4 linked regions of the Notamacropus eugenii genome follow. The protein of the gene in region 3 interacts with the protein of the main gene of each other region in a pairwise test. Links are inferred from orthologs where the notes say so. Each region holds a gene or a part of one and is shown on either strand. Other genes may lie near its edges. The genes, in order: NR4A1, C5H1orf94, CDKN2D and NR4A2.

Evidence for each region.
Region 1: the proteins of CDKN2D (region 3) and NR4A1 interact in binary tests that used the Homo sapiens proteins (3 or more experiments, as listed by UniProt). The two-hybrid records come from large-scale screens. The link is inferred for Notamacropus eugenii from reciprocal best matches to the Homo sapiens genes CDKN2D and NR4A1.
Region 2: the proteins of CDKN2D (region 3) and C5H1orf94 interact in binary tests that used the Homo sapiens proteins (3 or more experiments, as listed by UniProt). The two-hybrid records come from large-scale screens. The link is inferred for Notamacropus eugenii from reciprocal best matches to the Homo sapiens genes CDKN2D and C1orf94.
Region 4: the proteins of CDKN2D (region 3) and NR4A2 interact in binary tests that used the Homo sapiens proteins (3 or more experiments, as listed by UniProt). The two-hybrid records come from large-scale screens. The link is inferred for Notamacropus eugenii from reciprocal best matches to the Homo sapiens genes CDKN2D and NR4A2.

What each region holds. Positions count from the first base shown.
Region 1 is NC_092874.1:224,525,894-224,532,798, reverse strand, and holds the start of NR4A1 (nuclear receptor subfamily 4immunitygroup A member 1), read right to left. Parts: upstream 3,022-6,905; 5' UTR 2,815-3,021; intron 1-2,814. UniProt on the Homo sapiens protein: Orphan nuclear receptor. Binds the NGFI-B response element (NBRE) 5'-AAAGGTCA-3'. Binds 9-cis-retinoic acid outside of its ligand-binding (NR LBD) domain.
Region 2 is NC_092876.1:85,488,718-85,496,086, forward strand, and holds the start of C5H1orf94 (uncharacterized protein C1orf94 homolog), read right to left. Parts: upstream 3,007-7,369; 5' UTR 2,784-3,006; coding exon 2,470-2,783; intron 1-2,469.
Region 3 is NC_092875.1:79,627,027-79,633,653, reverse strand, and holds CDKN2D (cyclin-dependent kinase 4 inhibitor D), read right to left. Parts: upstream 2,649-6,627; 5' UTR 2,561-2,648; intron 2,085-2,560; 5' UTR 2,062-2,084; coding exon 1,921-2,061; intron 1,716-1,920; coding exon 1,353-1,715; 3' UTR 503-1,352; downstream 1-502. Other genes in the region: AP1M2 (AP-1 complex subunit mu-2), read right to left, coding at 3,975-3,997, 4,214-4,289, 5,764-5,889, 6,357-6,515. UniProt on the Homo sapiens protein: Interacts strongly with CDK4 and CDK6 and inhibits them.
Region 4 is NC_092876.1:215,131,717-215,138,571, forward strand, and holds the start of NR4A2 (nuclear receptor subfamily 4 group A member 2), read right to left. Parts: upstream 3,024-6,855; 5' UTR 2,606-3,023; intron 780-2,605; 5' UTR 657-779; intron 261-656; 5' UTR 130-260; coding exon 1-129. UniProt on the Homo sapiens protein: Transcriptional regulator which is important for the differentiation and maintenance of meso-diencephalic dopaminergic (mdDA) neurons during development.

The sequences.
Region 1 (6,905 bases), on a different chromosome or scaffold from region 3:
TTTACTGGAAACACAACATACCCAGGGCTCCAATGTCAAGAGAAGCACTCAGTCATCTTGAAGGAAAAGTACCCTCTACCTTCCCTGGGAACCCAAGGCTCCAACCTTGGGCCAAAGGCAGAGACCTTGAGCTTTCTTGATTGATGGGCATTTACCATGTTTACAGATCATTAAAGAAATGATGGATGGATCAGGCAATCAGGGATTACAAAGGCCCAAGCACAGCCATGCCAGACTCACTTCACTGTATTTTTTGATGAGATTACGTAAGTGGGGGATGCTGTGGATACAATCTACCTAGATTAAAAAAAAACAAACAAACCTTCTGATAAACTATTCACATGTTTCTTGCAAAGAAGATGGATATGGTTGATATTAAAGCAGAAGTATCTACAGTACTTTGGACAGCCAAAGTAGTGCTAAATGTCAAAGTGAGAGGAGGTCTCCAATGGAGTGCCCCAGGGATCAATGCCTCTTAACAATATGATCAATGACTTGGATAAAGGAACAGATGTTATGTTCACCAAATCTGCAGACAACACAAAACTGGAAAGAAGAGTTCACACAGGTGATGACAAGAATCAGGATCCAAAATGATCAGCCTATAGCACTGAACTGAATGGAATAAGTGAAAGGCCCTAGACATAAATGGAAAGTCTTCCACTTGGGTGCCAAAAAATCAACTTCACAAGTAAAAGATGAGGGAGATAAGGATGTATAATAGTTGTCTGAACAAAGATCAGGGTGCTCCAGGCTCAGGAGGAGTCAGCAGTGTAATGGACAGTCAAAAAAAAAAATGCTAGAAACAATCTTGAGCTGTATTAAGAGGGAAATAGTTTCTAGGAACAGGGAGATGATGATACCATTTTACTCTGCCTGGGTCAAACCAAAGAATAATGAAGGGTCTTGAGTCCATGGCATATGAGATTAATGGAAGGGAATGCCCAGTTTAACCTGGAGAAGAGGAGACTGGGGGAGGGTGGAAGGGGAAAGGGAAGAAGTAGGGAGCTGGGGATGGAGGACATGATAGCAGTCTCCAAGTATGTGAATTGCTGGACCCCAGAGGGTAGAGTCAATGGCAGTAGATAGAAGTTATATTTTGCAAGGAGACCAATTTAGGCTCAACACTGGGATAAACAAGTTAGAATTGTCCAAAAGTGGGAAGGGGCTCCCTCTTTAAGGACAGGATCTTGAAGGTCTTGAAGGAGGGATTCCTTTCCTGTATGGACCTTTTCACCTGTCAACTTCTAGCTGTCATCCATCATCATCATCATCTTCAAGTCTCCACCTCTGACCTAGATCTCAAGTTCTCAGCCTAGGCTTCTAGGCTTCAGACCCTGGTAGAAGGTAGCATCCTACTCTCTATGATAATCAGATTTCTTCCCATATTTCAGACCCTGGGCTTCTAATTGGTGAGCATTCACCACATCTAGCCCAGACGCAGACACACCAGACTACTTCCCATCTATCTGCATGCCATCAAAATGGCCCATTCTTTCCTCCCCAAGTTTCTAACTAACTCTGAGAATAGTAATCAAATCTATACCACCATTCCTCAAAAGAATGTGTCAATTGATTGCCTCTAGGACACCCATCAACATCCCTGTGACTCCTCTGTGAAAAACTCTTTCTCAGTCAACACAATGTATTGTGTATTGTCTCCTACTATTGTGATATGAGAACTTTGATGGCAAAAACTCACTTCTTTTTGCATTTGCCTACCCAGCATATAGCCACGTGTGTGCACTGCAGACAGAAAGTGATAAATAAGTGCTCTTCCACTCATTTGGATAGGCAGCATGGCCTTGGAATGAGGAAGACCCGTCCAGGTTCTAGCCTGGCCTCTGCCACATACTGCAGCTCACCATCTCTCAATGCTTTAGGAAAATCTTTTAAGTCCAAAGGTAGCAGAGAAGGTGGGCAGCCTACATAGCTTAACCTGGGGTGGAGGTAGAGGTGCCTTTTCCCCTCCTAGGTTGGGGCGGGGAGGGGGGGAGGGAGAGAATGGTGGTGATCTTTGCCAGCAGGAACCTAATCTAGGTTATCAAGTTTGTCCATACTCCACTTTCATGCAGAACCCAAAATATAATCAGGTTTCAGGGAGCATGCAGGACACTCTTTCCTGGGAGTATATGATTATCTTCATTTTATACGTGAGAAACTGAGGCCCAGGGAATAGAGGTTCACCACACTGTCCTTTTTTGTCACATAACTAGGAAATGTGCCTTGGGCACTGCCAAGTTTCCCAAGACGGTATTATCTACCTTCTCCCTTCCCAACCCCCCCCCCACTGGGTGGTAGACTTGGAGTCAGGAGATAAAATCCCGACTCAGATACTTACTATATGATCCTAGGCAAGTCACCACTCCAATCTCCGCCTTAGTTTACTCATCTGTACATGGGGATAATAGCACTTACTTCACAGTGCAACCTCATTGGGTTAATATATGTAATATATTAGATAAAATCTGTAAACATATTATCTACATATTACGACATGTAATATATTAGACAATATATGCAAATATATTATCTACGTATGACATGTATTATGTAATATGTAGATAACATGTAAAAAGCGGTCTGCAAATCTGAAAACAATCTAGAATGCTCCATATTGACAATAATGATAATAAACACAAGCAGATTCTAGTCCTAAAAAACTCCCAGACCGCGACAATACTCCCTCCCTCCCCCGCTCCCTCCCGAGGAAAGTTCCTGCCCATTCGGCGGCCCCGCCCCCCGCCCCCGGCCGGGCTCCGCCCCCACTTTCCAGCCCGGCTTCCCCAGTCCGTGCCCCGCCCCCTCCCTCACCTGGCCCGCTGGGGCTCCCCGAGCTGGGCTGTGCAGGGCGCGAAGCCCCGCCCGGGAGGGACGCCCTTCATTCTGCAGACACGGGCCCCCAACCCTGGGCGGGGGTCCCAGAGGGGGTGCGAGGCCCGCTCCTCGATGCGGTTCACTCTCCTTCCGCACGCCCGCCCCGCGGTCGCCATGGGCCCCCTCCTCCTCCTTCTCCGAGCCAAGGGAGCCCCCGGCCCGGCTGTTCCCGGGCCTCCCCCCGCCCCTCCCCCCGCTCCCCAGCGCGAGCTGGGCGCGAGCGGCTGTTCCGGCAGGCAGCGCGCCTCCCCCCGGAGGCCGGCGGGGGAGGAGTGACGCGCGCGCCCATTGACGTCTCCGGAATCCCGGCGGCGGCGGCGGTGGCGGCTGCTTGCCTGCCCCTGGAGCGTCGCCCGCCTCAATGGGCTAAAAATAGCGGCTCCCGGGCGGAATAGCCCCGCGCGCCCGGAGCCCCGCCCCCGCCCGGGCAGGTGGCACACGTGCCCCTGCCCCCCTCGGTGAAGCAGCGAGCAGGTTGGCCCATGTTAATCCATTTTATTCTCACGACCACCCCGGGAGGCGGGGTGCTGCGGCCGTCGTCGCCGTTTTACAGCTGTGGAAACTGAGGCAGACCGGTCACAGCTGGGAAAGGCTCGGATCCCGCGCCGTCCGCCGCCTCCTAGCTGCAGACAGGGGAGGGAAACTGAGACCCAGAGAGTGAACAGGGAGGGATTCGAACCCAGGGCCCTGGTCTCCAAAGACAGCGAGCGCTTTCTGCTCCTGGCGGCCCTCCCTCGATCCGAGGTATCGCGCAGAGAAGTGTGTTTGGTGCCGCGGGAAAGCAGTCGGGACCTGGGACCGTCAGCCCCTTCCAGCCCTCGGACCCGGGCAAGGCACTTCACTTCCTTCTGCCTCAGTTTCTTCAGCGATAAAAGGGAGACAGTAACACTTGGGGGCGTGGGGTGAGGACGAAGAGAGCTACAGATCTCCTCTGCGTGCGTGGAGGCTTCGGCCAGCCTTCAGACCCTGGATACATAGTAGCTCTCTTAATTGCACGATGTATACATAGTAGCTCTCTTAATCGCACGATCTTATCCCTCTCAGGCGATTCTCTCGGACCAGACCGTGGTACCTAAGATGGGGGTCTGCATTCCTATACCAATGAAATCGCAAGTCCGGGTAGATATGCATCCCCAGAAGCTGGTGCATCACAGTCCCTTAAAAAATGCTAATTCATTCATTTAGAATTCGCTTTCGACTTTCTAAACTAAACCTTCACTGATTTCCAGCCCTTATCTGCTGTCTAATAGATAGACCTGGTCTTTCTTGCTCCCTGTGCCTCGTGGAATCTCTAGATTCAGAGATCTAATGCATCCACTCCCGAAATACCTGTCCTCCTCCACTCCCCCCTTTCCCCTTCCACCTCCCCTCTTGCTCCTTTACCTCCTCCCCCTCCTCCTCCTCTCCCCTCTTCCTCCTGCAGCTGGGCCCCCTCCCCTCCCCCCTGCCTTTGTGGCTAAACTACTGGAGAATGCAGTGTATAATAGGTGCCTCCATTTCCTTTCTTTTCACTTTCTTCTTAACTCTGCAGTCTGCCTTCTAACCTCATTATTTTCCACTGAAATTGCTGTCTCCAAAGTTTCTAACTTTCTTGACCTCTCTGTGGCACCTGAGACTGGTGACCATGCTCTCCCCCTTGATGCTCTCTTCTCTCCTTCTCCCCAGCTTTTCATGACTCTCAGTCCTGGTTCTCCTCCTACTTAATTTGACCCCTCCCTCTCAGTCTTTTTTTTTGCTGGATCTTCAATCTGGGTCAGGACTGGTCACCGTGGGTATCCCCCAGGGCTCTTCGCTGAGTCACTTTCTCTTCTTACTCTCCCCAGGGATAGAGAGGCCCATGGGCCTGAGCTGCACAGAAACAGGTGAAAGGCTGGATTTGGCCCATGCCGTAGTTTGCCAACCCAGGCTCTATGCTATTTTACTTGGTGATCTCATGAGCTCCCAGGGATTCAATTGAGGTTTCTCCAATCAATCCTAGCACTTGTTGCACCACATAAAGCGAGTTTACAGAAAAATCACCCAGTGTGGGAGCTAGAAGACAGCTTAGGTGTCACTTTGCCCGACCCCCTTATTTTTCAGTTGAAAAAACTGAAGACCAGATAAGTTAAATGCCTCTCGAAGGGTCACACAGTTACTGAGTGGAGGAAGGGAATTCAAACTAGATATTCTGAGTAGATTCAGTTTGTCCTGGCCTTAGGCCTTTCCAAACTAGGGATGGGGTGTTGCCTCTGGCCTTTCACCTTTCCATTTTCCCCCAAACCTTTTCCAGATCAATGGACCTCTTGAATCTTCCTACCTCCTAAATCCGCTGGACCCCATTGTTTCAGATACCCACTTCATCAAACCCATAATTAATTAATTAATTTCTCACTTTTCTCTTGCCATCCCTTTTTAATTGGATGGACTCGCCTGTTATATGCTCCCTCTTTCCTTTACTAGCCCCCACTTCTGAATACTCCAGAACATGAGTGCCTCTCTAGGATTTACTTTCAGAGAAAAGAACATAATGCAAAATCAGAAATAATAGACCAGGATTAGGTAATGAGAAAGAAGGTCGAGCAAGAGACCTATCAGTTCCACTCCAGATGGTACTTTCTAGTTCCTTTAAAAGATGTTTATTCAAAGATTACCATCCAAAATAAAGGAGGCATAAAACCAAACCAAAACAATAAAAATAAGATTAAATGAGCCTCAGTACAACTGAGATGCTTAGCAACTATTTACATTCAAATTAACTAATTTCAGTGCATCAAGTATCATAATTTTTCATTCACTCTGACTAATCATTCTCATTCCCTTTTCCTTTTGTATCCTTGTAGTTAGAATGTACTCATACCACATCCTTCTTGGTAGCCTTTTTTCACTTTGTATTATTTCCTCACCATGGAGTTCCTTAAACCAATTAAATTATGGGTACCACCCCTATCCCTCGCCCACTCAAGTTCAATATCCCTATTATTTCAAATAGATCTTTTCAGGTTTCTCAGTATGCCTCCTACAATCTTAAATTGCATTATCATGTTCCATTATATTAATGAATGGCACTTGAATTCTTAATTATCTTACTGAGCTATTCAGTTCTCCAAGCCTAACTTGGCTTATCGGGATTCTTTCTTGGTCTGGAAATTCAAAAGGCAGGAAACTTGTTCCTCCTTCCTCTGGATCTCCCCCATAACACCCATGATGGGATGCTGTCAGCTTGAATCAATATTTTGGGGGGGGGGCTTCTCACAGAATTTAATTCTTTGTTAAAATTTCATAGGAACAGATTTTTTCTTTTGATTTTTTATTTCATTGCTTTTGATGTTTCATATTTTATTGATACATATTTTCACACCATCTTCATTTCAGAGTATATCTCTTCCCTATCCCCTACCCAGAAGGCTAGTGTTTGTAATAACAGTTTTTAAATGAGGAAAAAAAGTAGTTCAGTCTAACCAACCAGTACGAGCTGAGTCTGACAGTATATGCAATATTCCACACTCATGGTCTCCCCATCTGTGCAAAGAAAGGAGGGAGGCACATTTTCTCAGCTCTTCTCAGGAAGTAAGTTTGGTTGTTATAATTATATGATTTTCAGAGAGCTTTTTTGTTGTTGTTTTTTTCCATCTGCACTGTTGTAGCCACAATGAATATTGTTTCTATTCTATTCTGCTTCGGTTCATCTAAGCACTCCTAGATTTCTTGGAATTCTTCATATTCATTGTTTCTCATGACACGGTAACATTCCATTACATTTGTATACCAATAATTTATTTAGATTTTCCCCAATCAACACACATCTGTTCTATTTCCAATTTTTTGCTACCACAAAAAGTGCTGCTATGAATATTGTGTGTGTCATGTGTGTGTCCATGTGCCCTTAATGAATACCCAGCAGTGAGTGCTGAATATTTTGACCCCTTTCTTAGCATAATTCTAAATTGTTTTCCAAAATGGTTAGACCAACTTACAGTTCCATCAACAATGTATTGGTATGTCTGTCTTTCCAGAGTCCCCTAATATTTATTTCCTCCATCTTTTCTCAT
Region 2 (7,369 bases), on a different chromosome or scaffold from region 3:
TTCGTGTAGAACCTAAATACCATATTAGCTCTTAAACTTCAGACAAGATTATGATGTTTTGTCAGATGAATGAATAGACAGGAATATGGATGAATGAATGCATGAATAGATAAATTAATGAATGTGATATACTCCAACCAGACAGTTTCCTGACTGGGCTTCATGCACATGGGCTAGACATCCAGATCCAAGGTTCATGGATAAGCCAGACAGTTCCAGAACAAAGGTCATACACACAAGTCAGAAAGTTTCCATAACTGGGATTCATAAACACAAACCATTCACCTCCTGCACAGAAGCCAGATAACTCCAGCAACTGGAAGATTTGTCATAGTTTCAAATAAACTTCAAAAGATGGGGCTTCTCCTTCACCAGCAGATTCCTAGATATACTATGGTGATATACTTGGTTTATTCTTGAACAGTTAGAATGAGATTGTAAAAGACACATCTGAGCAATTAAAAGTATAATAATTTGCATTTTATACAATTTTTTACTTAAAATTTCCAACGTACTTTTATACCTCTCATCCCTTATCATCCTCACCACAGCCCTGAAGACAAATAAGACCAAGTTCATCACTCAGATTAAAGAAGGGGAAATAGAGGTAGAAAAGGGTTTACCAATTTGCCCCTGCTCACACAGGTAATCAGTGGCGCACTCCAAACTAAAGTGAAGATTTTCTGACACCCATACATTTGCACCCCAGTCCAATTTCAAGGTCCACATACAACACTGAAGATTGGAGAGAAGAGCTTGAAAGAAACAGGTTATTTGGGGAAACCAAGTCCCACATTAAAAGCTACCCATGGCTAATCCCAAGTGGATAAGTGCCACCTAGATGTTGCCTGTAGGTCTGTTTCTGCCAGTGGCAAGTGCCTAATCTGAAGTAGGAAGACTTCATCCCTTAGTCATCCAGAGGAAGTATATTTCAGTGGAAAGATCCCTGGAGTGAGAGGGCTAGAGTCTGAATCTAGGCTATACCACATGCCTGTGGGGCCTTAGTCGTATCATTTGCCCTTTCTGCTTCCATCTCTGTAAAATGAAGGAACTGGATGCTCTGCCTGGGACCAGCTCAGTATTCAGGCAGACTGGCCGGGAGCTCTGCATTAAGTACTGTTCAGCTGCACCGAGCTAGCGATATTTGTTTCTCTAATGCAGCTGAGGCAGACTGAGAACAGACTAAAGTGCCTTTAACTTCCTCCTCTCTGACAAGGACTGCAGAACAGGAGAGGTGGGAAAGGAGGCCGCTGAGTTGTTTGCATCTTCAGCCCACTGATGTGCTTAGGGCTTTCAGTTCTCTGGGATCCACAAGTAAGCTTTGCAAGAGCCTACGAGCAGTTGCTAACAGCTGGTCATTGCCTGGGTGCTTCTTGGATTAGCAAGCAAAGACTCCACCAACTCCCCAATGCCATTCTCCACTGTACAGAACCATACACTGGGGCCTGCAACACTTAATTATCACTTAGCCTCTAATTAGCACTTAATTATTAACACTTAATCCATCTGTAAAATGGGGACAGCATTATCTGCCTGGCGGGGATGTTTCGAGGAGTAATTAATTCAGGTTTGCAACACCCTTTGAAGACAGAAAACTTATGGAAAGACTAAATAGGGGCATGAATCATAGCCTTTCATTTTCTCTCTTGCCTCTCCCTCCCTATCCTCCAGCTCTTGTTTCACTGCTTCCTCTTGCCCTCCGCCTCTGCCCCAGTATAGACTCTTGGCACTCCCAGTCACAGGGTTTCCCAGCAGGAAATAGGCATATTTACAGCCATCTTCTAGAATGTGTTAATTTTCTATTATGGTCTTTGACGATGTCAGGGCTTTCCCAGTAAATATTTTGATGTGTGCTTTTGGAGAGGTTTCTGTAGCGGCTGAATGGGACAGCTGCTTCCCAAGCTGGGGGATTCCAGATGTGGCTCCACACCAAGAAGATCAGTTTATGTGGTGGGAAGGAAAGTGAACATCTCTGAAAAGCATCTCCCAAGAAATCCTCATCTCTAAACCATCTCTGAGGAGAACCTTGGGAATCCTGGAGGAAGGTAGACCTCTGGGACTGGCAGATCATACTAGCTCTGATTAATGCAACTTTCTTGCCTCTCGTATCCAAGGCTTTGGGAAGAGAAGTGTTATTAGCAGGCAAGGAAGAAAAGTTGTCCCTTTATCCCAGAATAATCCCCAAAAGGTGCCCCAACCCATCATTGGCCACAACTCTTCCCGAAGCTTTATTTCTTGCAGGCCCTAAGACTTGTGGACCTGCTGTGCTGATCTGTTGGCACTGGAAAGCCTAGAGGGAAATGTGAGGCATGAGGAAGGGAGGACATTAGGTCAGCCACCATAGAGTGGCTACAGATATGGAGCCAAGGGAAATATTCTCCATAAGCAACTGCCTCCCAAGGAATCAGACCTCTGATGCTCAGAGTCCCCCAGCCCAAGTTTCTGTCATGGCAGGGGAAAAACACTCACTCATCCTGGAAAGTGCTGTCGTGGTCTCGGAGGGCACTAGGTGGGGCAGAAGTGGGCTGTGCTGGTACCATTGATCCTGTCCTAGGCTGGAAGGCTTCTGGGAGGCCCTGAGCCCTCTTCCATATCTCATGGCAGGTCTTGTCCAGGCTGTCTTGAGGCGTGTCCTGGTGAATCCAGATATGCCTGGGGAACGGACCCAGGGGTGATGGGCGCTTGCTGGCCACCGTGGGAGAAGGGAGTCCATTCCCACTGGCCATCATCCTCCTCTCTTTGCAGAAGGGCCTTTGCCTGCCCCGGGCTCCAAGACAGACCATCCACAACCCCTCATTCACCAGAAATCGAGTCGGGGATACTGGAGTTAAGGGGTCAGATTTTTCTCTCTCCTCCAAGGACAATTGTTTCACAAGTCTATGTGTGTTTGCGTGTGTGTGTCTGTGTCTGTGTGTGTGTGTGTGTGTGTGTGTGTTCTGGGGGAGGGGTTGTTTTGATTTTTTTTTATTTGCTCTTTCCTTTTCTTTTGCCCCCTCCCCCCTCCCCCAGAAGAAAATATTTTAAAATAAAAGACAACAAACCTAGTAGCTTAGTAACCGTGGAATCCCTGGAGCACAGGATCCTGGCAACTGGGCCGGCAGAATAACAACTGGAGACAAGCTGAGAGGGGGAGTCAGGGGCCGGTAGGACAAGGAAATAGGGCAGCCGAAGCCCGGATAATCCGCCCTGCACTCCTCCATTCCCCCACGTTAGTTCAGTAATGGAACACCACCCCTCTCCCCTTTCTCCGTTCCTCTCCTGGCCAGAGGCGTTCACAACTGGGCAGTCCAGGCACGAGATCCCTTCAGGAAGGGGGTGGGGGTGGGAGAGAGGGCTCAGACCCTCCCCCATCCTCATCTGCCAACTCTCGAGCCTACTGCCCTGCCGAATCACCTACCGCCCCAGTGCACATCCTCCTACTGTCCCCGCAACCCCATCCTGGAGACGAGGCCGGGGACCTGGGGATAAGGAGGGCACTAGAAAAAGTCCACAGCTCAGGTTTCAGAGCTCCAGGGAATCTGCAAGTCAATCCTTTTCATTTTACAGATGAGGCAAACGAGGCCCAGGGAGAAGTGTCTAAGCAAGAGCACACAGGTAGGTAACAGAGTAGTAATTCGCACCCATGTCTTCTGACTCCCAAGCTAGTGTGCTTTCAATAGCAGTACAGAGACCCCCGTCTTCAGAGTGGAGACAAATGGAGAGCCCTCCGCTGCCTTTCCGCCAAACCTCCTTTACTGAAACACTTCTTCTTGACTGTCAGGAATGAAAACCCGGCAGTTCTTAACTGTCCCCCCCAGCCCCCGCAGCGCAGATACGCTGGGGTTTCAGGGAGCAGGAAAGAGAGCAGCGGCGCCCTGCGCTCCACTCCGCGCACGCGGGTCTGCGGTCACACTCTCGGCCCTTCAGCGCCCGCATTCCCCCAACCTGTGGTCAGCAGTGAGATTCTGGCACGAGTTTTTCAAACCCCCCACCTCCTGCGATCTGGGGCCTCTACCTGCCCGGGCAGGGAGAGGAGTCTGGTCTGGACCCGTCTACATCCCGCTCCTGCCTCAGCCCTCCTGGGGGAACTGAGTCGCCCCTGGAGGCAGCTGCTGTGGGGACGATGCAGCTGAAGAGGCAAGGAGCGGGCAGAGGTCCTATGGGGACCTCAGACCCTCGCCCATCCTCATCTGCCTTTCCTGACCCTCTCGAGCCAACTGCCCTGCCGTATCACCTACCGCCCCAGTGCACATCCTCCTACTGTCCCCGCAACCCCATCCTGGAGACGAGGCCGGAGACCTGGGGATAAGGAGGGCACTAGAAAAAGTCCTCGGACTTTTAGGGAGAGTTTGGGGCAACAGGCCGGATGACGGCCTCCCTTGCCTGGCCAGCCACGATATGACCCTCCTCAGCCCCAACTGCAAAGGTTCTACCCCACTCTTCCAATTTCAGAAACACTGGCTCTGCTGACGAAATGAGGGATAGCCTCGGGGGCTTTACCTCTTTCTTTGCTTCTGCCACTTCAACCTACAATTCTCCCCCATCCCCTTTTTTCCCCAGTGCTGGTGTCCAAAGCATGTTTCAGAGGTGGATGTATCCCCTCCTTCAAACCCCATCCGCAAATCAGGGTTCCTACGACCACTGGTCTTCTCACCAGAACCACTTGGCGATAGACAAAGCTGAGGGGCCCTAGCAGTCAGTCCCTTTGGGCCAACCTTCTATTCTACTAGATTATTCCTGCTAAAGATGCAGGAGAGAAGCCCCGACAACCCTCAAAGGTCCTCTTTGGCTTGGCAACGCATTATGTGATGCAGGCCATCAGATTTATTGGCTTAATTCTGTTTGGCTCATTTTTATTTTAAAATGAGTTTGCATTCCCCCAGCAGGCCCTGACAGTAGCACAGTCATGCAGGGTGAAGAGTGAGCCAGCCTGCTTTTCAAAGCTGCCCTATTACTGTCCAGTGCCCCAGCAACCTCCCAGTCACCCGGACTCTCATCATCAGCGTCATCTTCCACTCCTCAGTCTACTTCATTCCATTTATCTCAATCAGCTGCTAAATCTTGTCATTTTACCTTCACAAAACCTCTTTCCACACACACAACCACTCCCCTAGCACAGGCAGGCCCTCACTGACTCTTCCCTGGACTATTGCCATAGCCTTCTAATTGGTCTCTCTGCCTCAGGTCTCTCTACTCTGTCTACCTCACAGATGCCAGATTGAATTTCCTAAAGCACAGGTTCAACCACATCACTCTTTTCCTCAAGAAATTCCAATGACTCCCTATACCCCTTAAGATCAAATGTCAGCTCTTGTTTGCCATTTACAGTCCTTCATAAATTCTCTTCCCATCTTTCCAGACTTTGCTCCCTTTCATTCACTTGGTAGTTCAGTCATATTGGCCATTTACTGCTCCTCATACACGACATTCTATTTCTGCTCCATGCTGGCCTCTGTGGGTGATGTGCTCTCCTTCCTTTTGGAATTCTTGGTTTTATTCAGGGCTCAGGTCACGGTGATTCCTTCTACATGAAACTTTTCCAGATCCTTCCCCCCCCCCCCACCCCAGTTATGTTGCATTTACTCTGTGTGTATAGATGTAGATAGATGGATGGATGGACAGATAGAGATAGAGATATATGAACATACTGTCATTTCTACTGAGATTATAAGCTTCTCAAGGACAAGAATCCTCATCAATTTTGTCTTTGTATCATCATATGGTGACTGAATGAATAACAAAAGCTTGAAACGATTGAGAATAGAGAGTTATGAGCAAACGCTTCAGGACTAGAGAGTGCAGGGGGAAAGGAAAGAGCTGAAGTGAGCCTTTGCTTCTCTATGAACTGTTGACTCATCTTGCTCTCTTCATCCCCTCACTGAGCGTTGCTCTCCCCAAGTTAGTGAGGAAGCCAGGACCTCTTCCCGCCTCCCTTCACTCTTGCAGGATCTAAATCAATCTCCTCCCATCTCCTGGGTTCTCCCAATAATGGTCCTAACACTGTTGCCAGAGTCATTAAAAATTGAAGGAGGGGAAACAACAAAAGTTAGTTGCAAACAAAATGTGTCTGTGCTCATTAGATGCAGTATTTGTGTTGGCCTGGTTGTTTCTCAGGAGAAACTAGGAGCTCGGCATTGATGTTCTCTTTTCTGTGCTCTGGAGTCACTGAAACCCTAGCGTATCTTTGCTGAGCGCCCTGGGAGGTTCAGGAGAGCTCTGATGGGAGGAGGGGAATGGCGCAAAAGAGATGGTAAACTAAAAGTTCTTCCAGTTGCAGAATAGGTGGATTTCTGACAAAATTGTCTGGAAAACAGACCTTTGTGTTATCAAATCCTATTCTCACAGATTTTCATGATAAAGTCAGAGTTAGGGTGTTGTTTGCTTTTTTTATTGTTTGTTCTAGATTTGTGATTTTATAGGTATGGGGAATTATTGGTATTGAAAATCCCTCTGTGATTCAGATCAGCAGCACAAAAAACTGAAGGAGTAAGCCTGAGAGAGATATGGGAAGCCACATATGCCAGAAAAATCAGGCCAGCACCACCATCTTACCCACCACCGCCCCTCAGATCTTGATGGGGATAGCCTAGGTCCCTGAGCCCAAGAACTTTGGGAATAGCAGAACACCCAGACCTGCCTCCAGCCCCATCTCCACAAGCACCATGGAAGGGAGAAGTCATTGTGAGGAGAGGATCTACCTTCCTCATCATGGCCAGCAACAGCTACTAACCAATGGCCACCTACAAGCAGGTAGACACAGGGGCCCTGGGAGTGGCAGTTCCTTCCAGATCTTCCAGCCCAGCCTTCCCAACCATCATCCGAAGAAGCAGCTCTTATGTAGATGGGGCCAGTCATCCTTAACACTCAGGATGGACAAGCTAGCTTAGCTGAAGCAGCAAGGCACCTTGAGAGAGAGATGGGAGGCAGAGGGTGCCAATCTAGTCAGACCACCACCACCTAGACTACCATGTCTCCTTAGAACTGGATGGAGACAGCCTAGGACCCTACATCCAAGAGCCCTGGACATGACAAAGCTTTTACTCCAGTTCCCTCGGCCGTCATCCTGGGAAGCAACCCCTGTGGAGTTGCAGCTTTGCAGTTGCCCCTTCTGGTGCTGCACCCATTGCTACTTAAGACCCGGAAAATAAAGTTCTTCCCAGAAAGGTCTTAGAATATGAAATAGTTCAACATCAGATACTGATATTTAGCCAGTGGAAATACGTGTGTGTGTGTGTGTGTGTGTGTGTGTGTGTGTTCATCCTTCTTTGCCAAAGAAGACTATGTCATTGGAGAAATGATGACATGACTTGCACTTGACTTTGTTTTGAGTGAGGGAGGGCTGTGCAGGTCACCAACCTTGCTTCTCCTCCAGAGCCATCTGAATCCAATG
Region 3 (6,627 bases):
CGTCGGCCGCACCTCCCCTCCCCCCACCCCCACCCCCGCCTCCTCTCACGCCACCTCCTACCGGTCCCCGGGGGCCTGGAAGACCCTAACCACCCTCATCCGGCTCCCGTAGCTGCTCAAAGGTGAAATGCTTGTTGGAGCTGGCTGGTCCGGAGGTCCGGGATACTGGGACCTGGGTGCGGGGGAAGTCCTGGCCCCTCCCCAGCGCCGCTCGGAGGGCACAGCTGGGGGCTCTTGCTCCATTCGCGGTTTCCTGCCACCCTTCCGTTCCCGATGCCCAAACCACTGCCCCACCCAACCCCAGCTGGACCCTGGGAATCACCCCGCCCTCCCGGGCTGGCCCTCTCCCTCCTCGGGCCCAGATACTCATTGAAACTCTTCCCTGGGCGCTGCGCTGAAGACAAAACCAGAAAACCGAAGCCCCTCCCCCCACCATATTCCTCCTTCCCTCGATACTCCCCTCCCCCTGCAGAAAAAAAACCAGGATGCAGAAGCTAGTCCATCAAGGAATGCTCAATATTAATTTAATGGTTAAAAACATTAAATTATCACACAACATTTCTTCAGAAAGCATAATAAATAGAATCTTTTAAAAACTGTACAAGAAGCTGGAAATAGGCCTTCAACGAAAGAAAATGGAATACTCCCCTGCCACCATTCTCTCATTTTGATTCCCCTCAAATTAAATTGTGTTCCTGGGTTTGCAAAAGGAAGTAGTGCCCTTCTCTTCCCTACAGCACCCCTGAGGTGGCTTTGCCAAAAGATAGCTGCTTCTGGGAACCTAGAAATCCCCTGAGGTGTCTGGGTGGGGGTGGGGAGAAGAGTGTGGGAGGAAAGAGGAGCCTCCTGCCACTCTGGACCACGGAAGGGATAGGAGAGACAGGGCATTGCCCTAGATCATCATAAAAGGCCCAGAACTCGCGTGAGCTTGCGCCAGCCTGAAGGGAAGGGGTTGGGGCTAGAGGGGGAGAAACAAACCGTTTATCAGGCCACCTTCCCTGCTGTGTCCAGGAGCTGGCTAGGGCCAAGAGTCCTAGACGGTCTCTGGTTGCTCATTTGGCTCTCTGCAGCCCTTGCCCTCCCCCAAGTTTCACATCACACCGAAGGGGAAAAATAACCACACAAATAAACACCAACAAACCATAACTCGGGGTAGGGGTGGGGGCGGGGACGAGATGGACCCTCGGCACTCGAGTGGGCATGGAATAGGAAGAGAACTGTTCACTCTCATCCTACCAGAGACACAGACCCTCCTCCAACCCTACCCTGTTCTCTGTTTCGGGGCTTTCTGGGCTGGTCCCACCAGTGCCAAGTGGCATCCAGCTGTCCTGGCTGCTGAAGGGCCCCCACATTCACAACGATGGAGTAGGAAGGTGCCTCTCCAAGATACGGCCCAACTGCCCGGCTCCACACTGCCGAGCCAGCTCCAGCGGCGTGAGGCCCCCGGCATCCCGGTGATGCAGGTCGGATTCCCGGGCCAGGAAAGTGACCACAGCAGCGTGACCCTCCCGGACAGCCAGGTGTATAGGCAGCGCCCCGGAGCCGTCCGGCACGTTCACGTCGGCGCCGTGCTCCACCAGGACCCGAAGAGTGTCCAGGAACCCTGTGCGCGCTGCGTCGTGGGCCGGGGAGGTGCCCGACCCGTCCTGGACGTTGGGGCTGGCTCCCTGCTTCAGCAGCTCCAGAGCGATGGGCGAGCTCCCGAACATCATGACCTAAGAATCGAGACACGAGGAGAGGTGTGGGACTCGGGCAAACGTAAGAGAGGCTCCGCGCATCCAGGCCCGAGGCGGGGTAGAGAAGGGAGAGCAGGAGGGCCAGGGGAGTTTCCCCTTCCTCCCACCCATACCTGGCCACCAGGCAGTCTCCCCCAGCAGCCGCCCCATCCTCCCCCGTGGTCCTCTCTGGCCAGAGACCCACCTGCAGGGCGGTCTTGCCGAAGCGATTCAGGGAGTCGGGATGCACGAACTCCTGATGAAGGAGGCGCCGCACCTCGTTCACATCTCCCCGGGCGGCAGCCCCGCTGAGCCGGTCCCCGGCGCTTATCTCCTCTAGCAACATCTCGGACCTACAGGCCTGGCAGCCTGGATCCGACAGCAGAGACAGAGGGTAAGCGCGGAGCGGGGTCAGGCCGTGGGGGTACGGTGCCACGGCCTTCCCCGGCAGCGGTGTGGTCGCTCCACTCAGCCTCGCCTCGCCTACCCTAGCCCAGCCCAGCCCAGCCTCCCAGGCTCAGGAGGCGAGCGGTGGGCCCCCAGCGCCGGGAGAGATTCCGAAGCAGCGCTGGGGGAGCCAGACGGCCGTCCCCTCGAGCCTGCCCGACCCAGGCTCTGCTGCACCGGCGTCTCAGTCTCTCCTGAAACCGGCGGCCTGCAACCAAACCCGGACCCCTCCCCAACGGGCTCCTCCCACCTGTCAGCCAGGATCTGGAGAGGGGGCTGGGAGGGCCGACTGGAGGCCCAATCCTACTCCTTTTTCCTGCGGCTCCTCCGCCTCCGCAGCCCGGCCCGGCCCCCGCCCCTTGGGGGCCGGGCTCCCCTGGGGTCTCCCCCCAACTCACCCTCCCTCTTCCTCCTGAGCGGGCGGGGTTCACTCTGAGCTCCGGCAGCCGCCGCCGCAGGAGTGAGGACGTGAGGGGGTGGAGCCGCCGCCCCCACGTGGGCCGCTCCGAACGCCGATTATTTGTTTTCTTACGAATTGACACTTAATATCGGTCCCCTCTGCCCGGCTCCCGACCCTTCGAGACCCCGCCCCGTTCTCCGTCCCGGCCAATGGTGACGCGTCTCCGGGGCGCCTTCGCAAGCAGAGGGCCGCAGCGCCGCTCCTGATTGGTCGGCTGGAGGCGACCGGCAGGGTACCGGTAATGGCGGGGTTTTCAGTTTCAAATGCTAGTGGCAGGCGGGAAAGAGGCTCCCGAGGTAACTGACTGAGGGAGCAGGAGCCGGGTCCGGGTCAGAGCCCGTCCTTTGGTCGCCCTGGGGCCCAGACAGCGACCAGTGCCACCCTTCACTCTGACCCGGCTGGAACCCGCAGCGCGCCCGAACCCACCCTAACTGTGCTCGAATACCAGACCCTCACCCAGTTCTAGCTTCCTGCAGAAAGACCGACCTCCCACCCCCCCATATCCGCACTAAAGAGCCGTGCACCCCGATAGGTAACGACACCAGGACTCAGAGCCAGACTGAGGGCCGGAGCACCCCATTCCAGGCCCCCTGCTTCAGACCCGCGTCCTGTCCGCCATCACAGCGTCCTTGCCTTCTCTCATCGAGTCAGCCCCAGGACCCTGCCACTGTCTCTCTCCTGCTCCTTTACCTCTCAAAGCGGACGAAAATGGGGTCACTCACTTCGGTGGGGTAATCGGGTCTCAACCTTCTTTAATCGTAAAGGCTACAGCTCGACAGGGAGAAGAAACAGAGAACCCACTCTCAGAGTGCAGGAGGGTGGAAAACTCGGGGGGACCAAGGCACAGGAGGCTCTCCTGACAAGGCACTGGGGCGGCGGGGGGAGCGGGAGGAGATAAATCAGTTCCCCCACCTTTACTTCATATAAAAATAGGAAGGAGAGAGCTCTAGGGAGACCCCTGGCTCCCCCCCCCCTTTCTCCGGTAAGGGAAACCCCGACCTGAGAAGAGGTTTCAGCTACCTGAGGCCTGCAGGCTTGGGCCCCCAGATCAGAAGTAGGGACGGTGAAGAGGCTGAGACATAAACAAGGGCCAGGGATGACCACCCTCCCAAATACAGACCAGGCAGATTTCATAAGCAGGGATCACAGGCAACCCTCAAGCAAATAAGGGTCAAAGCTGCCCCCTAAATGGACAGGATTGCCTCCCATTCACAGTCACAGACGGGATGCCTCTCATATATAAGTGGGCCATTCACTCTCACAAACAAATACACTCTTCAAAAAAAATCTTTGTGCCAGAGGGTCCACAGGGTAAGATGTCAGCCTCTGCTGCTCCAGGGTCTGTTTCTTTTTTAGCTGGTCCGAAGCTGATAATCTACAAGGAGAGGGGACAGTTGTCTTAGAGTGGTAATTCAAAGTAAGACTGGGAACACCTCCTTTCCTCCCTCCTCTCTACCTCCCAATATCCTTAATCTATGAAGACAGGGAAAGTAGTATTACTTTCTGAGGAGAAAAGTCCAGACCTAGCTAGGGACCCCATCTATCACACCCCTAATCACTTATTACCCCCTAATCTGGGGTATTCTCTTACCACCGCTCTGGGTGATGTATCGAACCCAGGGAAGGGCTTGATACCCACTCTTCTCAATGATCTTCATGTACCGGACCTGAAAGATGCCAGCAAAATTGTTTCAGTAGGCATAACTACTTATCCAGCCACAACACATTCAATCACACATGTATTCCTACCTCTGTTGTCTTCCTCCATCTAAACATCATGGCCAGAATTTTCTTTCACGTTAAGTCCAGTCACGTTCCTCCCTATACCCCCTGGATCAAACTCTACTTGACAGTTAAGGCCTTCCACAGTCCAGGGTCCCCTCCCTCTTATCTAGGTGTCTCTCATCACTCCAGGCAAACTAGACCACACTCTGCCTCATGAAGAAAAATCGTCCCTTCCCACGTCTTATCTTTCTTTATTCACAATGTTCTCTGTGCCTATGAAATTTCTACCCATATTGGGATTCCTGGTTCAAGGCCATCTCCACTAGGAAGATTTCTTCGATCTCTCTGATCAAATCTTCTCTCTCACACAAAATCACAGAATGATAGAGCCAGAAAGGTTTGTTCTTAATCTGGAGTCCATGAGCTTTTCTTTTTTTTAAACAAATTTTGATAATTATTTTAACAGAATTGTTTTCCTTTGTCAGCTAGGTGGCACCATAGTGCACAGAGCCCTGGGCTTGGAGTCCCTGAGTTCAGATTTAGTCCTTAGACACTAGTTGTGTGACCCTAGGCGAGTCAATTAGCCTTCATTAGCCTCAGAATAATAACAAGTATCTCCCAGGGTGTTGTGAAGACCAAATGAGATAACATTTGTTGGTTGTTGTTCAGTTTTGACCAAGTCTTCATAACCTCATTTGGATCTTTTTGGCAAGGATACAGGAGAGATCTGCTATTTCCTGCAGCTCATTTTACAGGTGAGGAAACTAAGGCAAACAGGGTTAAGTGACCTGTCCAGGGTCACACAGCTAATAAGTATCTGAGGCTGGATTTGAACTCAGAAAGATGAATGAGTCTTCTTGATTCCAAACCCAGTGCTATATTCACTATGTCATTTGTTAAAGACTTTGCAATTGTTTAGTTGCTATGTAAATGCTAGCTTTGTTATTCCTTTGTAATCCTATGTATTTAATTTTATGAATTTTTAAACATTATCATGAGAAGGGATCAGTAAGCCTAGATGGACCATGCATAACACAGAAAGGGTTAGGAACCCCTGATTTTATCTAGCTGCATTTCACAGATGAAGTAACTATGGTCCAGAACTATAGCAATATGAGCAAAGTCACACACAGACTAACACCGGGGTTTCGGTGCTCTTTCCTCTATCCTATGCTCATACAGTACCATGTTTGCTCCTCTTCAATGCCCTTAAAACAAGTAATGCCCAACCTCCTATTTATCTGGCCATGTATGTAAACAGAGGGAGAGCAAGGATTGAGCCTCACCTCCACCCCAGCACCTAGCTCAGTGCTCTGCATTTTTTTGTATAGTGAATGAATGAAGGGAACCTGCTAATGTCATTTCCTTGGGTTCATCTTTCCCTCATCCCCTTTCCTAAACCCCACTCCCTTTTACCTGAATCCCAGAGACAGTGAAATAAGGAATCTCAAATTTGACAGAGATGGGAGGCCGGCCCTCCACCTCCTCTTTCTCCACGCTGGGTAAGCCAAAATGAGCTCTCATGAGGTACTCCTTTCCTCCCTGCAAGGTCAGATGCATGGTGAGGAAGGGAGACACAAAAAATAGGCAGAAGAAAGGGTGGGATTGTGCCCTAGGGGATCCCTCCTGGGCTACTGAAAAGAACATCGATTTTAGCACTGGACCAGACCCCAGGAGACCTTCCATTCCAATACCTTTATTGAAAAAAAGATGAAAATGAGGCCCAGAGTATATAGAGGGTTTGATCAAGGTCACACAGATAGAAAATAGAGCTGGGATTTCTACCCCAGTCTCCCCTGACATAAGTTCTCTTGTCACTTCATTTTGTTGGCTAAATGAGCCCCAGGAGGTTCATTTCGTGCTCATAGCTCTCCCCTCCTCAGGGTCCAGCCCCTTCCCACCGCTCCAAACCTAACCAACCAGGTCCCTTCTGCCAGTTTCCTGGACTCCTGCTGTTCCCCTCCCACTGCCCCCTGACCCCACCCACCACCTGCTCCTCCAGCTCTCACAGGAAAGGACTTGATATTCCAGATAACCACATTTTTCTCAGGCAGGTACTTGGCACTGCCCACACTGGTTTTGAATCGAGGGGAATCTGCATCACTGGGCACTGGAACCGCGATCTCCACACTGTTGGCCACTGATTGCTTCTTAAACTGGCCTTTAGCCTGGCAGAGGTGGGGAGAGAAGCCAAGACTCATCAGACCTGGATGTCCCCCCCGCTCTTGGTTTCTACATCCTTTTTCTTTACTGGTCATCTCTCCCACCTTCCCAGTACCT
Region 4 (6,855 bases), on a different chromosome or scaffold from region 3:
GCTAAACTTGACAAACTCTGGAGTTAAGAAATCGGAGCTGTATTCTCCCGAAGAGTGGTAACTGTAGCTCTGGGAAGCTGGGCTGGCTCCTTGAGGCGATGACCCATACTGAGCCTGAACACAGGGCATGGCTGGAAATGAAACAGGGTGATACACGCTCAGCCTGGTCAAGTGAACACTTTCTCCCTTGCTTTTGTACACCTTTTGCACACCTGGATCAACCACACGGCGGTTCCGTATTAAGTAAACTGTACACAGCACTGCAATTTAGGAGAGGAAAAGGGAGAGGAAAAAGAGCGGAAAGACAATCCGTGTTGCAGGCGCTGACCTTCAAAAAAGGGAGGGTGGGGGGAGGAGATCTAAAAGAAGAAAGACAGGTAGGATATAAAGGATCAAGAAACGCCCCTATTTCCATTGTGTCTCCTTTACAACCCCACCCACCCACCCAATAACCTCTTATTTAATGTGTTCAGGTCGCTTGTTCTGGAGCAACCTGCCAGGTGCTAAGCTATTCTGAAGGTGGCATTCGAGTAATAGGACTGGTTTACTGAGTGCAATGACTTTGCTTTTGAAGGTTCTAGGGGTCCTGAGGGGGTCTTGAAGGAGTGTCAGAGAGAGAAGAATGGAAAAACTGAAAAGCAATCAAATTCACTAACCTTCAGCCGAGTTACAGGAGTTTTCGAGGAAATTAAAGGTGGACAGTGTCGTAATTCAATGGAGGACAAAGTTCCCAAGATATTAGAAAATAAGTGAATAGTCCAGTCTGTCCAGCCTGCTCCCTGAAATACAGACATAATATGTTCAGGTTACTGTGGAGGGATTTATTGGACACAAGCAACTACACCAACCTGCATATTTCACTGTAATACATAGTATGGCCTTTAAATAAATAAACCTATGACACATGAATGTGGAAGAAATATAATTAAAACCAATAAAAATGTTTTTCCCTATGACAATCTGGCATATAGTTAGTTGCATAAAGGTTTTTCTTTTTTTCTTTTATGAGGGAAAAGAAGAACTTATGGCAAGTTGTCATTTAACATTTATAATTGTCATGAATTGACACCACCACCACCCCTTGTAATAGGTAAAAGAGAATGGGTTGTCACTATCATAATTTTATTCAGACACAGGATGAAAGGAAGACCAGGGTTTTGTAAAAAGTCACTTTGGGACCTTCAAGTGAGAGGTATTCAGTAGGCAAATTTAAATGTAATAATAAGCTAACCAAAGAAAAATAACATAAAAATATGAAAAACCATTCTGACCTCCTAATCTCCACCTCACCTTCAAAGTTACAAAGTATGCTACAGGCCTACATTGTATAATTGGAAAGAGGCTAATAACCCCTCTACATGTATGAAAATGACTAATCTATTTCAAGGACATAGGCTACTTACTTTTCACATTTCTAAGAAACTTCTTGTGCATATTTTGAAATGTACATTTAAGGAAAGCTTATTTTTGCAAAAAGAATGCAAGCAAAGAGCAATACAGCAAAGACAGTCCTTGACTCATTTGGATGCATTTAAACATATGGCAAGATGACCCCTTTTCTACTACCAGCTTGAGTTGTTTCCCTCTTTAATGAAACACGACAACAATCCTGGTAATTTTCAGATGTTCCCATTTTTAAGGCATCTGAGAGTACAAGTATGTCAATGAAAAAAAAAATAAAGCTAGATATCCATTCTTCTTCAGTTTTAGCTATCTTGCTTCTGACTTCCTATTTCACAACTGGAAATCCGAGAGACTAGATGGGGGGTGGGGGAGAGAGAAGGTGCAATTAACTCCCCCAACCCCACCAAAAGGTGACTTATCTTTGTTAACATCAGGTTTGTAAATTCACTGGAGAAGTGATCTTAATCTCTCTATCCCTCTTCTTCCCTTCTCTTGCTTTCTCTTCTGTCCTTTTCTCTCTTCCTTCCCCTCTCTCTCACTGATGAGCCATATGTGTCAGAACACAGAAATTTGGGGAAACTAAGAGGATACCGTACTAACAGCACCTATACTGAAAGAGCAGCCTTCTAAACACCAGCACGTTTGCTAACCATGGTGATACAGTTCCCAAGCAACACATAAACTGAAGTTTTCCTCCTGTCACTTTTCCCTGAGCGTTAAAGCCTTACTACACACACGACCTTTGAGATTCAGTGTCCAAACGACCAATTCACATCTGCTCTAAGGGAAAAAAAACGATATGGAGGAAGACTGAGTAGAAATTTCAAAGTCGAAGTTGAGAAGACAGCAGCTCCTAGAACGGTAAGAAGTATTCCTTCCGCGTTTCCCAATTAGCAGACTAGAAGCTGCTACCGAGAATGTACTGTTCCTAGCACCAAACGTGTAGTTAGGAAAAACGCCTTCTGGAGCAATTCACAAAACTTCCCTTTCATCTCCCTTCCGGACTCCCTTTCCCTTCTTCACTTCTTTTTCCGGAACGCACAATTCACAGATCCCATGCCCATACCCACAGGAGAGGGAAGGGGAGGGAGGGAGAGAAAGAGGAAGAGGGAGAGAGAGAGAGAAAGACAGACAGACAGAGAGAGAGAGAGAGAGAGAGAGAGAGAGAGAGAGAGAGAGAGAGAGAGAGAGAGAGACTTACTTAATGGTTCTCCACGTCTCTTTTCATTCATTCAACTGTCTTGAAGAGCAGTTTCCTCGGGAGGTGGGGTGGCGGGGGGATAGGGGAGGGGGTGGGTTAGATCGGTGAAAGGAAAAAAAAAAAAAACAATCGGTCCCGAGAAGTTGCTAGTTACCAGCGCTGCTCGGGAAGTGCGGTACTCATGTAGCAGAGTGAGAGCAGCCGGACAGACTGGCCCTTCCCTCCAATGTGCCTTTGTTTATGTGGGCTCCGTATTCCACAGCCAACATGCACCTAGTCTCCAAACGTCAGCACACGTCAGTGCAGGCTGCCCAATCCCAGTTCCTTAGGGCTGTTTCTCCCCATACAGTTGGCCAGCTCTCGCTTTGGTAAATTTCCGACCTGACGTCACAAGCAGGGCAGATTTTAAGGTGGGAACCGTTCTGGGTTCACCTTGTTAGCCGAGTTGGGCTTTTTTTCTTTTCATTTCTAATTTTTTTTTTTTCCGAAATAGGTGAAACCTGCCCACCCTTGCCTCTAAAGCCAGTAAAGCTCACTTCGCCCCACCTTCTCCAAAACTCCCCAATTCACAAATAGTTTTGGCAGCCCAGATGTGTAAGACTACCAACAAAAGGGAAGATGGGATGGGGGTGGGGGTTAAGAAAGGCAAGGAAAGGATGGCTGAGGGAGGATGCGTGTGCCAGGTAACCCGCACCTGTAGGCGCACGGTATCGGGCGATATGTACTTTCATTGTTCTAATTCCCCCCTCCCTCCCACCCCCCGCACGCTCTACACCTCTGCTCTCATCCCCAGGCGCTGAACCGTGCACAGAAGCCTTTTGCACGGGACTGCTAAATCTGGGTTTCCCTTTCTCAGTGCTTCCCTTCCCCCTCCAATAATTTCCACTCTTGCAGAAAAAAAAAAAGTCGTATTTTGTGTGATGCCCTCTTCTCTCATCCCCACGTGTAGGAGGGAGGACGTGGTGACTGTGGTATGGAAGGGGGGTTGGGATAAACAAGACAGGATGGGCACTGGACCAAATCCTCTCTTATAAAACCAGAATCTATTTGAGAAATATCGCTCCCCCGGTCCTGACAATGCAGCAGTTTCATGCAACAGGTGTGCATTCCCTAGAGAAAGGTGATTATACTTGCACCTCAGGTTAATTCTTTTCAACTTCAGAGCTGCACTCTCCCCAAGTATGTTTTAAACTACATTTCTCTAGATACATAGGACACTAAGTAAACACTGCATAGCTCCTAAACTAGGTGGTGTGGGAAATGATACCCCTCCTTTTTCTTCCTCAAAAAAAAAAAAGTAACGTACACAATTTGCCTTAGAAAACCTTGGTATAATCAACAGGAGTCCAGAGAGCATGCATGTCCGTATGTATTGGGTTCGGCGCGTTACTGCTCTTAGAGCAACACCAGAAAGCTGTCACAGCCTGAGCTCTGCTTTGCATGCTAATAGGTTGAAATGGGACTGAGAACAGAGACAGCACCTTGCAACAGGGAGGAGGGAAGCACATGGAATGCTTTCTAGTAAAGGAAACGCTGGTGTTTTTAAGAGAAGCACAGCGATTCGAGTCCCAAAGCCCACAGAGGTTTACTTGTTGAAGAAGTCCGCTCGTCCCAACCTGGAAGGGATACCAAGCCTAGGCCATTTAGTTCGGGCTCTGAATTAGTTGCGAGTAAAATTTGGGAGTATCTGTATAATCTCAATCCAGTCTTTCTTCTGAACGACTGTTTTCAGCTCCCATTCCCTTCTCCAGCAGCAAGGTTTCGTTATTGCTACCGTGACCCATTTGTACCCTCCCTCTCCCTACGTATTATTGGTATTTTCATTATTAGAAGAAAGCACAGTCAAGATTAAACCAGTGTCGCCTTCCCTGAGCCCTAAACTGCACTCCAGACTTCACCTTTTCACCCCACCCTTCCTGCCCTCTCCCGGGCGGTGAGCTTCGGTCCCAAGCACTGCGTGCAGTCTGGGAAAGCCGCTGGCGCTGCTACCCGGCAGCCCAGGGGAAACCTACGTGACCACCTTAAGTTTCCCCAGATGCGGTGGCGGCTGCTGCCGCCGCCGCAGCTACACCGCGGTGCCCTAAGCAGGCGCGAGAAAAAATAAGGCGGGGAAGAGTGAGGGGACCGAAGGGGAGCGAGGGGAAGCAGTGTCGGCTGTAGCGAGGGGGAGGGGGATAGGGGTAGGACCAGGAAGAATAGCTCATTAGCATGAGCTCTGTAGCGTCAGCCACCCCGTGGGCTGGAGAGATTCAATGCGAACGAAAGGGAAAAAGTGAGAGTTTGGAAGGGAGGGAGATGGGAGGGAGTAGGGGGTGGCCATGACGCAGGGGCGCAGTCATTGACGCACCGAGCCGGGCGCGGCCAAAAATAGCAGCCACAGCAGAGCCAGCGGCGTGCTCCCCAGCTCCCTTTCCCCTGGTGCAAGGGGGCAGGGCACGGTGAGGAGGGGAACTCTCATTGATCCCGGCTGTGGGCAGGGCTAGCACCAGCTATTTTAAGGCTATCGGAAACTCCAGCGCAGCCACGTAGGAGACTTGGTGGCAAATTATTATTTTTTAATCTAGCCCTAGGAAAAACGGGGACCGGGAGTATTTTAAGGTTGCAGACACATCACTCAGACCCGCATATCCAAACCTATAGCTTAGTTTCCCTCCATTACCATTACAAAACACACTCCGGAATGTTTAAGAACCTGAGCGGTTGCCTCCTCTACTCCCAAGAGAGTGAAAATCTTCGATTAGGGAAGTGAATTTCATAGTAGGTCTGAAAGGTGCACGGAGTCCCTTATGTCACTGTCCAAGAAAGTGAAACATAACAGTATCCAAAATTATTCAATTTCATCCTATTGTAAGACTTCGTGATGACTGAGATCGAGTTAAGTAAACTTTCATAGTACCCTTTACGATGATGGCGATTTTTAAAAGTAGGGAATAATTTTTCTTCTGTTTTTAACTGACTTTTAGTTACTGTCTTCAAATCCTTGGATTTTCCTTTAGGCTGAGGTATTCATTAAAAACACAACTTAAGAAAGCTGGAGTAAAGTAAACAAATGTTTATTAAATAAACCAATTACTGGTCAGGCTGGTTGGCCTGTACTTGGTGGGGCTCTATAGTGGTCCAAAAGAAGGGCTCCTGTACAGCCTCATTCAGACTGCAATCAGAGCTGATGCTGGAGCTGAAAGCCAACAAACTGAAATCTTTTCCCCAGCACAGATATATTTGAGTATTTAATTGATAGGGGAAAGTCCAATCAGAACCAACAATCTCTGTAATTGACTGATCCTGTCAGTAGGGGGCCTGAAGCCACAAACTTTTTTTTTAAGCATTAAAAGCCACATAAAACTCAAAAGGTTTATACCAGGCCCAAATATTCATAATTTCTGTGCTGCTCAAAAACTGAAATTCATAAACACCTACACATATTTTTATAAAGGGAGCACAGTCTGATGCACATTGAATTGAATTTACAATGCATTTCCCCATACTGCTCATGTTTAGTTCACCATGTATTTGGTAAATGTTAGCTGGTAATAAACTCATTTTATCACCAAGCAGTTCAAATTGGCATATAGTTTGGAAAAATGAAAGCATGTTTTAAAATCCTATGATTACATGTTTAAATAAATTACAGTTTAGAAGAGGATTCCTGTGGGTGTATTTGCTGGTACATAAGAATGCTTTTGTGTGCAGAGGTTTAATTACACATATATAATGGAGTCAAAATGCAGGACTGAACAACCTTTTAGAAAATGTTAAAACGATGCTTTAGGCTAAATGGAACTGAACTTCTGCATTTAAATGACTGCAGCCCTTCATGACTGTTGAACATAAACATCACAAAGTATTCTCACTCACTCAATTAAAAATGACAATTATGAGATTTTGAGTCAAGCATCAGACTTACCTTTAAATTGACACATGAAAATGAGAAATTCATCGTCATTTTTTGCGAAGTCAAAGAATTTCAGAGTAAAATAAATGAATGAAAATGGGTTGTCTGTATACTTAAGTCAACTAGAGACTTCTTTTGAAATTAATCAGAAAAGCATTACAAAATTATCATTACCTTTTCAAGAATACTTTTCAGGAAAAAATCCTGAAAGGTGACTTTCCTGTATTATCCTCTATATTCTTGACCACATGTTAAAATAAGGTGTATGGCATGTAAATAAAAACTATAAAATTTTATTTTAAAAAGAAAAGAATTGCTATAGATCACATACACACTTACAAATATTTTTTTTTTTATT